3 linked regions of the Kluyveromyces lactis genome follow. The protein of the gene in region 1 purifies or fractionates together with the protein of each later gene. This does not show direct contact. Links are inferred from orthologs where the notes say so. Each region holds a gene or a part of one and is shown in the gene's direction. Other genes may lie near its edges.

Region 1 (2,792 bases):
GTAGAAAATCATGAAACAGATGCCTAATGGGATAAAGAAAAACAATGGGACCATGGATGTCGAATCTGAAGGAGTCATATAGTTTTGAATAAGGGCAGCGACAGATATAGCAAACGTAAGTACGGAGAAAAATTGAACACGTCTCATCGTGGTCTTGTTCAATTTAGGGTAAACCACACCGTAACCTTTGCAAATAACAAGAAGTAAGAATAGAGACATGGTGATCTTTGCAGAGTTCAAGATTGAAACAATGACCATGTAAACAGTGGTACCAGCGGTCGAACCCTTAGTGTTCTTCAAGTCATAGTAACCCCAAATGAAGATTGTATCAATGGTTAAAAACACAAATGCAGCCAGTAAATATTTTTGCAAGGGCAATAGTTCATGCTTGTGTTTCCAGAAGGCAAATAAGTACAAGGCCATAGCGACAACATAAAAGATTGCCAATAACCCATACAATGGCAATTTGTTAATTTCAGAAGCAGCTAGATTACCAAAACTATTCCTGAAATTTACCTCAGCCTTGTAAGAGATCCCAGTGTCCTTAGCGTAAGTACCAACACAATAGTAACCAGTTTTCTTAATGGCATATTTGTCCTTCACAAGACCTGTATTTCCCACATAGAACGTATGAATGTCGGCACTTAATGACTTTTCGGTATCACTATCTGGATCATACGCTTCAGGTGAAATGATAAACTGGTTCTTGTTCTTTTCTTGACATAGATTCTCTTTTATCGCTTCTTCGTCACAGATATACTTAACTACACCCGCTTTCGTCTTAGCCCCAATGTGGATGTAATCTTGGAAATCAAAGATCACCACAGAGATGCCTTCTTTGTTCAATTTCTTTAAATCGAACGAAATATATGGATCTACACGACCACTCCAATCCTCTTTAGAATACATACCACTGCAGATTTGATTCTGCTTCTCTGTGATAGTACCCTTATTGGCCGTCGCAAAATGCAACCAAAGGGCCGTACAAAACAAAGTGACCCAATTCAATTTGAAATTCATCGTATTGTCTATCAAAAGCTAATTATAGGCCTTTATTCTCTCCTTTTTCCTAGACTCTCAAGAAAAGATCGGCAATTAGTTTTATTTCGTCTCTTTAAGAATCACACAGCCTCGGATATAAAGTAGGGTCCACAATTCACAAGCTACCACTGGATAAGAATAAATAGCACACAATTGGAAAGAAAAACCTTGTTCTTGTACAGTCGGAAACCGTCTCAGTATATTTTGCTGCCTTCCATTAAATTTTGTTCTGTTACGATATCTAGTGGGTCATTTCTTGTAAAAGGGACCTTTTATTTTCTCATTTCTCTAAAATGTTCAATCCATAAATTATCTGAAAAAACGTAATTTTCAAGAGATTTCGAATTAAAGGAATTTCCTCTAGTATTACAAAGCACTCATCTTATGCTAAGATGATTAACAAGTGGTTTGTGCATATATAGAGAAAGGATGAGAAGTTGCAAGACAACGGATTGTAAACTGCGAGGATGTTAGGAAGGTTTAGTTTTGGTCCCAAGTTTTATAAGAGCGTACATCGAACGGTGTTGAATCCCGTATGGCAGAGGTCTATTCATATCAAGACACTTACAACGCCTAATGAGAATGCATTGAAATTTGTTTCCACAGATGGGGGGCTGCTACAGGAGAAAGGCACACAGAGTGTTGAGATCAAGAACACTGATGAGGAGCTTTTGAAACATGCTCCATTCCCATCTAAAGTGTTCCAGCAATGTCCTGGTGTTGAAGCAATGATGATCGGTGATGATTTCGTCACTATAAATAAAGATGAACTGATTCATTGGAACCAAGTGACTCCTACGGTGATAGATCTATTGGTACAACATTTAGCCAGTGGGAAGCCCACGTTTTTACCAGATTTCTTCGACGTGAAAAAGTCTTCCGAAGTTGGGTACGATGTGGACATTCCTAAATTTGAATACGATGAAGATGAGCAAGAGATCAGCGAGATGATCGATGAATTGATTCAGACAAGGATCAGACCTGCTATTATGGACGACGGTGGTGATATCCAGTACCGTGGATGGAATCCGGAGACAGGGACAGTTTATTTGAAGTTACAAGGTGCATGTAAGTCATGTTCGTCCAGTGAGGATACCTTGAAGCATGGTATTGAAGCTATGTTAAAGCATTACATCGAAGAAGTAGAGGACGTGGTTCAGATCTTGGATCCTGAGGAGAAGATTGCACTTGCGGAGTTCGAAAAACTTGAGAAGAAGCTGGAGAGCAGTAAGAGATGATTGCAATTGCCCAGTATGTCACTTCTTTCTAGCAATGAAAGAAACGTACAGGCATAACTAAGACTAAGCAAGGAATGAATCATGACAGCATGTATTTGCAAGGTATTATGCAAAACAGAAGTACACTATTATTTATTTATTTAATACATTCTATTTATCCCCTATTAGGATGCCCTTCTTGGGATCGATTTGTTTGATGTATTTTTCAATCCGAGAAGCCATCATGATATCAGCATCGGAAATACCAGATACATCATGCGTAGTGAGTCTGAACTGAACTCTGTTGTAGGTAGTAGTAATTGTAGGATGATGGCCCCATAAGTGTGACCTCATGGCAACTTTGTTCAAAAAACTCCATGTCTCTTCAAAATCTCTGAACTTATAATCTCTAACCAATTCATTCTCCATTAATCTCCATTTAGGCAATTTTCTGAGTTCTTGTGTCAGAAGTTTTGGTGGCAACAGCACTGGTACCTGTTTTACTATCTTATTGTACATGTCTATACTATTCAG
Region 2 (2,778 bases), about 700 kb from region 1:
GATCCAAACAAAATATATCTATGTGATTCAGGAGCACAATTTTTAGAAGGTACGACAGACATCACACGTACGTTACATTTCACGGAGCCGACGCAGGAAGAGATTGATAACTATACACTAGTATTGAAAGGTAATTTGGCACTTGAACGGTTGGTGGTTCCTGAGGGCACCAGTGGATATAACATCGATGTTATTGCCAGACAGTTTTTGTGGCAAGCTGGACTGGATTACAAGCATGGTACAGGTCACGGTGTTGGTTCATTCTTGAATGTTCACGAGGGACCAATCGGAATTGGATACAAACCACATCTTGTAAATTTCCCCTTGGAAAAGGGAAATATAATCACCAATGAACCAGGTTATTATAAAGATGGTGAATACGGTATCCGAATAGAAAACGATCTACTCGTCAAGGAAGCTGAAGGACTACAATTTGGTAAGCGTAAATTTTTGAAGTTCGAGAACCTAACTATGGTACCTTACTGTAAGAAGTTAATCAACACAAGTCTTTTGACGCCAGAGGAGAAATCACAGATTAACGACTATCATACAAGGATATGGTCTTCAATCGTTCCATTCTTGCAACCATCCAGTATTGCATTCAAATGGCTCAAGAGAGAAACTAAATCACTATGATCCGTGCCTTTCTTTTCTCTATTAGATCACTGATTTTGTCTACCTATTCGGAAATGGTGACAGAACTTGTTCCAATTTCTTCACATGAACATGCGTTTTCTTATTAATTTGGTCCATATTAGTATTTCCTTTCTATTCAACTTCTTAATTCACCTTCGTTTATCAGAATCACCATTTTTTTTCACTGTCTATTCAGAGTCAACTAAACATATGCAACGTCCTTGTTGTCTGTCTATATAAGTACTTTTAAATATTACTTCCTTCGTTAACATGTACTGGTTGCACTAGTATTAATGCCATTCATTACCCATCGCCAGATTTCCCCCTGTTACTCATATTTGTCACGTGTGGTCACATGTTTTCATCCGGGTAACCATATCCTGACAAGTAAGAATCCTTTTCGTTTTTTGCTGACGTGAGATGACAGTTACCCGTCCCACATCCCTTACTTTTCCCCGGGATCCGAACACGGATCAAGTAGGAAACGCGCAGCGGGACTGATTCGTTGTAAACTAGTCATTCACTTTTTTAACTTGTTATGATGTATGCACAGGAGAACAGAGGATGAGAAAAAAAATTGAAAATTAGAGGATATATAACGAAACACTTATAATAAAGCATACTTTCTCCCGTTTCTTTGGTTAGATTCCAAATTTGCTAGTATCCAAATCATCAATCAACTGAAGGCAGGCCATACTCTCGCACAGGTTGTACAGAGATTACATTCTGATTCTATTATTATTTATTAGCATACAACGTTGTGGTTTTTCTACATCAGTACTTGAAATATTGATATCCATCGGGTTTGCTCCAAAAGTCCAAAGAAGGTAAAACAAAGTGAAAGTGACTTTCTCACGCAGAAGGAGCTCTATTTATCTATTGATTTCAAACGATGCAAAGACACATACTATCTAGAAGCAACCAGTGCCTGCTGCGTGGCAATGTGCTGGCAGTGAGACATCTTTCTCAAAGGCCACTGGCAAGGACTAAGAGGTTTTTGCAAACCTCTCAGAATGGGGATAAAGTGAATGCTCCAGTTTGGCCATTCAATTTTGAAATTCCAGTGAAGAACGGTAAGAGTAGTGCACCTGGTACACAGGAAGAAGCATCTGGATCTGGGACCGCAGGTGCTAAAAAGACATGGCTCACTTACTCGCTTCCTAAAAATGTTGCCAAGAAGGGGGAACCTTTACAGACCCAACCACCCAAAGTCGATGAAAATATTCAACCAAAAAAACGTGCAAAGAGAAAGCTAAGGCCACGTAAAGCTCTAATATCGTTGACGCCCAATGCTCTTTCTCATTTGAAGGGGTTGCTCGATCAACCTGAACCTAAACTAATAAGAATAGGAGTTAAAAATAGAGGATGTTCCGGTTTGACTTACGATTTGCAATATATTACTAGTCCAGGAAAGTTCGATGAAGTGGTAGAGCAAGACGGTGTGAAGGTTATAATTGATTCAAAGGCTCTTTTCAGTATAGTTGGTAGTGAAATGGACTGGGTAGATGATAAGTTGTCCTCTAGATTTGTTTTCAAGAATCCAAACTCTAAGGGTACATGCGGATGCGGTGAAAGTTTCATGGTATAATTAATGCAAGATCTTTCCATCATCATCGGCATCATTATCATCCACAACTTTGCATTGGGATGAAGCATAAATATTCATCACCTGTAAGGAGCATTGACTGTTGTCGCTTTCATCCGGATTGCCTCTGGAGAAAAATAAAGAAACTAACAGTTGACGCAACTAACACAACACTCACCCCACGTATTATTCTTCTGATAGGTTTGCTACCTCTTACTACAAGGTGTTTAGTTTGGAAAACTCATTCTAACGACATTTATTTATACAATAGCATCGGATCCTGATCTTTTTTACTAGCAGGTATTCTTTCCATTTGGGGTACGTACGGGGGCATAAAGCGTCCGGGACGCTGATGATATCCCCCGGAGGAGAATTGCTTGAATTTATTCTTTTATTCATTTGTTCAATGCGATACACCCTAAGAAATCCTCCCTCATTCAATCTCTTTCTTCCACACCAATAATACCCTTAAACACAATTACAATCATCATTATAATTCTATATGTATATTTATTGGTCACAAAAAATGCTACCTGATGTAGCTCGTTTATAACTTT
Region 3 (4,457 bases), on another chromosome or scaffold:
ATCGAATCCAAATTTACTCCTCTTGCTACTTTTCTTCGTGTTTGGATACTCACCTAATTCAATAGTTTCCACGTTAGCATCATCATCACCACCACTGTTCTTACCAAATCCACTACCACTAACGATGCCAGTATCGGAATCGTCCTCGAGCCCATTTTTCTTCCAAAACTTTAACGACGAAAGCTTATTCGACTTACTGCTGGATCCAGCCTTGTTATCAGAGCCCCCATTCAACTGGTCCAATTCCTGCTGTTGTAAAGAGTAAATGAGTTTCTTCAAATGAGAATAGTCGATATAGTAATCCTGCCACTCCGGTACAGCATTATACTTCAACGAGTGTGAGAATTTCATTTCTAACGAGATGATTCACACTATTTTCCGACTTTTCCTCACCGTAGGGGATATATCTCAGTCCTTATACACCTCAATGTCTCACTAAACAGATAGCTCGTCAGTGTATATATGTATATTCTATACACAAACGGTCCATAAACTACCAAAGTCTTCCCAAGCCACGAACCGCTTCCATTATATAAGTATCCTTCTTGTTCAAATCGTTAGTGGATGCTGTTCCATTTCCACAATTTCCATTCAAAATAGGAATTCTTTCTTTTTCTTTTTTCTGTCACGGCAGAACGCATATAGCGAGGGAGAATACCTGAGCCAAATGTATAAAACAAAACTCAAAATAAACACGGCTAAAAGCCAAGTGATCTGCTGAGAGATCGGAGATACTGATATTCGCAAAACTAAGTTATCACCCGCTGCCTTGCGGTTCTGGGGTGGCCGGATTTATACTTTTTTGTTTAGTTCCTTTTTTTTATTATTCAGTGCTTCATTCACGGCTGCAGACTAGGTCCCACGTGGGCCCTTTATGATTAAATGTAGATTTAATATTTTCAGAATTGGATTCGAGATTACTTTTTCCAGTAATTTTCTTAATATGGTAAGAGACAAATTTATGGGGAAATTCCTCAGTTCTTTATATATATTTATTTACCGAGAGAGATTCGAACCTGGGACCTTCTGGAGAATAGATATTGGAATTTCTTTTTTATTTTCTAGTCCGGTCACGTGTAATTCTCTGACTCATTCATTCGAGGCCGAGAAAGTACTCAAATCGGAAAAATTCCCACGGAATTTTCCCTTCAGCGAAAAATCGATTTAAATAAAAAAATTTCCATTGGATTTTTTACTGTCTCATCTAAGATTGCTGACTGATTTCTCAGAGTCTTCGAGTAGAATTCCATAATTGAACTGGTATTTTTCAGTTTTTAGTACTTGTTCTGCTAGTTGTCTCTGTACTTTTTTTTTTCCATTGAATTTCTCGTTTTTTTTCACTCTTTTGACATGCGATGAGCTAGGAATTCGAATCAATTAAAGCTATAGGTATATATATATGTACATATGATAGTTTCAGCTGTTCATAGGTAGTGTCTATTGGTGGTTCACGGTATTACATCTTTGTTCTGGAAACTACTATGATTATATTCTAGTACGCAAGGACAAAAGGTTTGTTGGCTATAGTTGAGAACAAAATGCTATCTGCTAGAAGATCGGTAGTAAACCGTGCTAGAAACCTATCCACAGTTATCGGTAATGGTGTCGAACCATTTCTGCAAGCTCCCGCTGACTTGAAGTCTAGGGTACCGCCATATGCCAAACTTATTTCCAATCTAGAAGTTGTCAAGAGTCTTGTAAATGATGCTCCGTTGACACTGGCTGAAAAAATCCTATACTCACATTTATGTGATCCTCATGAATCAATAACATCCTCCAATCTAAACGATATTAGAGGTCAACAATATTTGAAGCTTAACCCAGATCGTGTGGCTATGCAAGATGCATCTGCACAAATGGCTCTTTTACAGTTCATGACTACAGGGTTACCAGAAACAGCTGTTCCAGGTTCTATTCACTGTGATCATCTAATCGTTGGTAAAGACGGTGAAGCCAAGGATTTAGTGTCATCCATTGCAACAAACCAAGAAGTCTTCGATTTCTTGCAATCATGTTCATCCAAATATGGTATCCAGTTCTGGGGACCTGGTTCTGGTATTATCCATCAAATCGTGCTAGAGAACTTCTCTGCTCCTGGTTTGATGATGTTGGGTACCGATTCTCACACTCCAAACGCTGGTGGGTTAGGTGCAATCGCTATTGGTGTCGGTGGTGCTGATGCAGTCGATGCTTTGACCGGCACGCCTTGGGAATTGAAAGCTCCTAAGATTTTGGGTGTTAAATTAACAGGACACTTAAGTGGATGGACATCTCCAAAGGATGTTATCACCAAACTGGCTGGTATCTTAACCGTAAGAGGTGGTACCGGTTTCATCGTTGAATATTTCGGTGAAGGTGTTGGCACTCTATCCTGTACAGGTATGGCGACCATCTGTAATATGGGTGCCGAAATCGGTGCTACCACTTCTACTTTCCCTTACCAAGAAGCTCACAAACGTTATCTACAGGCTACCAACAGAGGCTTTATCGCGTCTGCTGCAGACCAAGCTTTGCACCAATATAATTTCCTAAAAGCTGATGAAGGAGCTGAATACGATAAAGTGATCGAAATCAATTTGTCAGAGTTAGAGCCTCACGTAAATGGACCATTTACACCTGATTTATCTACACCAATATCTGAGTTCGGGGAAAAAACTTTGAAAGAGGATTGGCCACAAAGAATTTCTGCTGGTTTGATCGGTTCTTGTACCAATTCTTCTTATCAAGATATGACCCGTGCTGCTGAATTGGTTAGACAAGCTTCTCAAGCAGGGTTGAAGCCAAAAATCCCATTCTTCGTAACTCCAGGTTCTGAACAAATTAGAGCAACACTAGAAAGGGATGGCCTAATCAAGACATTTAAGGACAATGGTGCTATTGTTCTTGCAAACGCTTGTGGTCCTTGTATCGGCCAATGGGATAGGCAAGATGTAGCCAAAACATCCAAAGAATATAACTCCATTTTCACATCGTTCAACAGAAACTTCAGAGCAAGAAATGACGGTAATAGAAACACAATGAATTTCCTCACTTCTCCAGAAATGGTCACAGCAATGATTTACTCTGGAGATGCGCAATTCAACCCAATGAAGGATGCTATCAAATTACAGAATGGCGAAGAGTTCAAATTCAATCCACCAAAGGGAGAAGAGCTACCTGGTGCCGGATTCATTTCAGGTAGAAAGGAATTCTATCCTGAAAATGATCCGAAACCTAATCCATCCGTGGAAGTTAAAGTTGCTCCAGATTCCGACCGTCTACAATTGTTAGATCCATTTGAACCTTGGAACGGTAAAGAATTGAAAACTACTGTTCTTTTGAAGGTGGAAGGAAAGTGTACGACAGATCATATTTCCGCCGCCGGTGTCTGGTTAAAGTATAAAGGTCATCTAGAAAACATCTCATACAACACGTTAATAGGTGCACAAAATAAAGAAACAGGTGAAGTAAATAAAGCTTATGACTTAGATGGAACTGCATACGGTATCCCAGAATTAATGATCAAATGGAAGCAAGATAAGAGACCATGGATTGTAGTAGCAGAACATAACTATGGTGAAGGTTCTGCTAGAGAACATGCTGCATTGTCACCAAGATTCCTTGGAGGTGAAATAATTTTGGTCAAATCTTTTGCAAGAATTCATGAGACAAATTTGAAGAAGCAAGGTATGTTGCCATTAACTTTTGCAGATGAATCTGATTATGATAGAATCTCTTCTGGTGACGTTATAGAAACCGTTAATTTAGCGGACATGATTGCTAAGTATGGTGACAATGGAGGTACTTTGGACGTTAAAGTAACGAAACGTTCCGGTGAATCATTCATCATTAAGACTAAACATACCATGTCCAAGGACCAAGTTGAATTCTTCAAGGCAGGTTCTGCAATTAACTACATCGGTACTCTACGTCGTTCAGCGGCATAATGTTTCCGTTTGGAATTCTGTAACAAATAGGCTCTTCTGGAGTTTTAATATGCATTTTGCAACACTTATTTATTGTTAATATCAAGTATACTCATTAAATTTCGATTACATTTTATACGACCATAAGACAGGAAAAACGTCCAGCATTCGAGCGAAAAGGAGAAAGAATTACAATGTATCAATTTCATCTATAAGTAATGCTTCTTCATTCCTCTTAATTTCTTGGTAGCATTTCTAAACTCAAAGTGTATCCTCTATCCGAATCTTTTACATATAACGTATTCGTTCTCCAAAATTCGAAAAGGATAAACTCTTGTAGCTCTGCAACTGGCTTGATACTCTTTGAGTCAATATCGATGGTGCCGGTTAAACTGAAGAAAGAGTCCCTTTTTTTTGATGGATTATGTTTATTTTCAAGATCATAGCCAACTTGGAAAAATTGCATCATGGATACGGTGTTCATGATCTTGAAATATTTGTCGATGTTGATAAGCTTGTTCGGTCTAAATGAGTCAGGGTTTTTGAAGTTTG

Evidence for each region.
Region 2: the proteins of NFU1 (region 1) and ISA1 purify together in Saccharomyces cerevisiae (affinity purification with mass spectrometry; 3 studies listed by BioGRID, with this or other methods). This does not show direct contact. The link is inferred for Kluyveromyces lactis from reciprocal best matches to the Saccharomyces cerevisiae genes NFU1 and ISA1.
Region 3: the proteins of NFU1 (region 1) and ACO2 purify together in Saccharomyces cerevisiae (affinity purification with mass spectrometry; 3 studies listed by BioGRID, with this or other methods). This does not show direct contact. The link is inferred for Kluyveromyces lactis from reciprocal best matches to the Saccharomyces cerevisiae genes NFU1 and ACO2.

Annotation. Positions count from the first base shown.
Region 1 is NC_006042.1:2,367,224-2,370,015, reverse strand, and holds NFU1 (Nfu1p), read left to right. Parts: upstream 1-1,508; coding exon 1,509-2,279; downstream 2,280-2,792. Other genes in the region: KLLA0_F25498g (uncharacterized protein), read right to left, coding at 1-1,020; MCO14 (4a-hydroxytetrahydrobiopterin dehydratase), read right to left, coding at 2,430-2,792. UniProt on the Saccharomyces cerevisiae protein: Involved in iron homeostasis within the mitochondrion where it is involved in the assembly of iron-sulfur proteins.
Region 2 is NC_006042.1:1,662,900-1,665,677, forward strand, and holds ISA1 (Fe-binding Fe/S cluster assembly protein ISA1), read left to right. Parts: upstream 1-1,528; coding exon 1,529-2,224; downstream 2,225-2,778. Other genes in the region: FRA1 (aminopeptidase P), read left to right, coding at 1-636. UniProt on the Saccharomyces cerevisiae protein: Involved in the assembly of mitochondrial and cytoplasmic iron-sulfur proteins. Probably involved in the binding of an intermediate of Fe/S cluster assembly.
Region 3 is NC_006039.1:307,505-311,961, reverse strand, and holds ACO2 (aconitate hydratase ACO2), read left to right. Parts: upstream 1-1,538; coding exon 1,539-3,926; downstream 3,927-4,457. Other genes in the region: PHO90 (SPX domain-containing inorganic phosphate transporter), read right to left, coding at 1-351; Ras family guanine nucleotide exchange factor BUD5, read right to left, coding at 4,141-4,457. UniProt on the Saccharomyces cerevisiae protein: Catalyzes the reversible dehydration of (R)-homocitrate to cis-homoaconitate, a step in the alpha-aminoadipate pathway for lysine biosynthesis.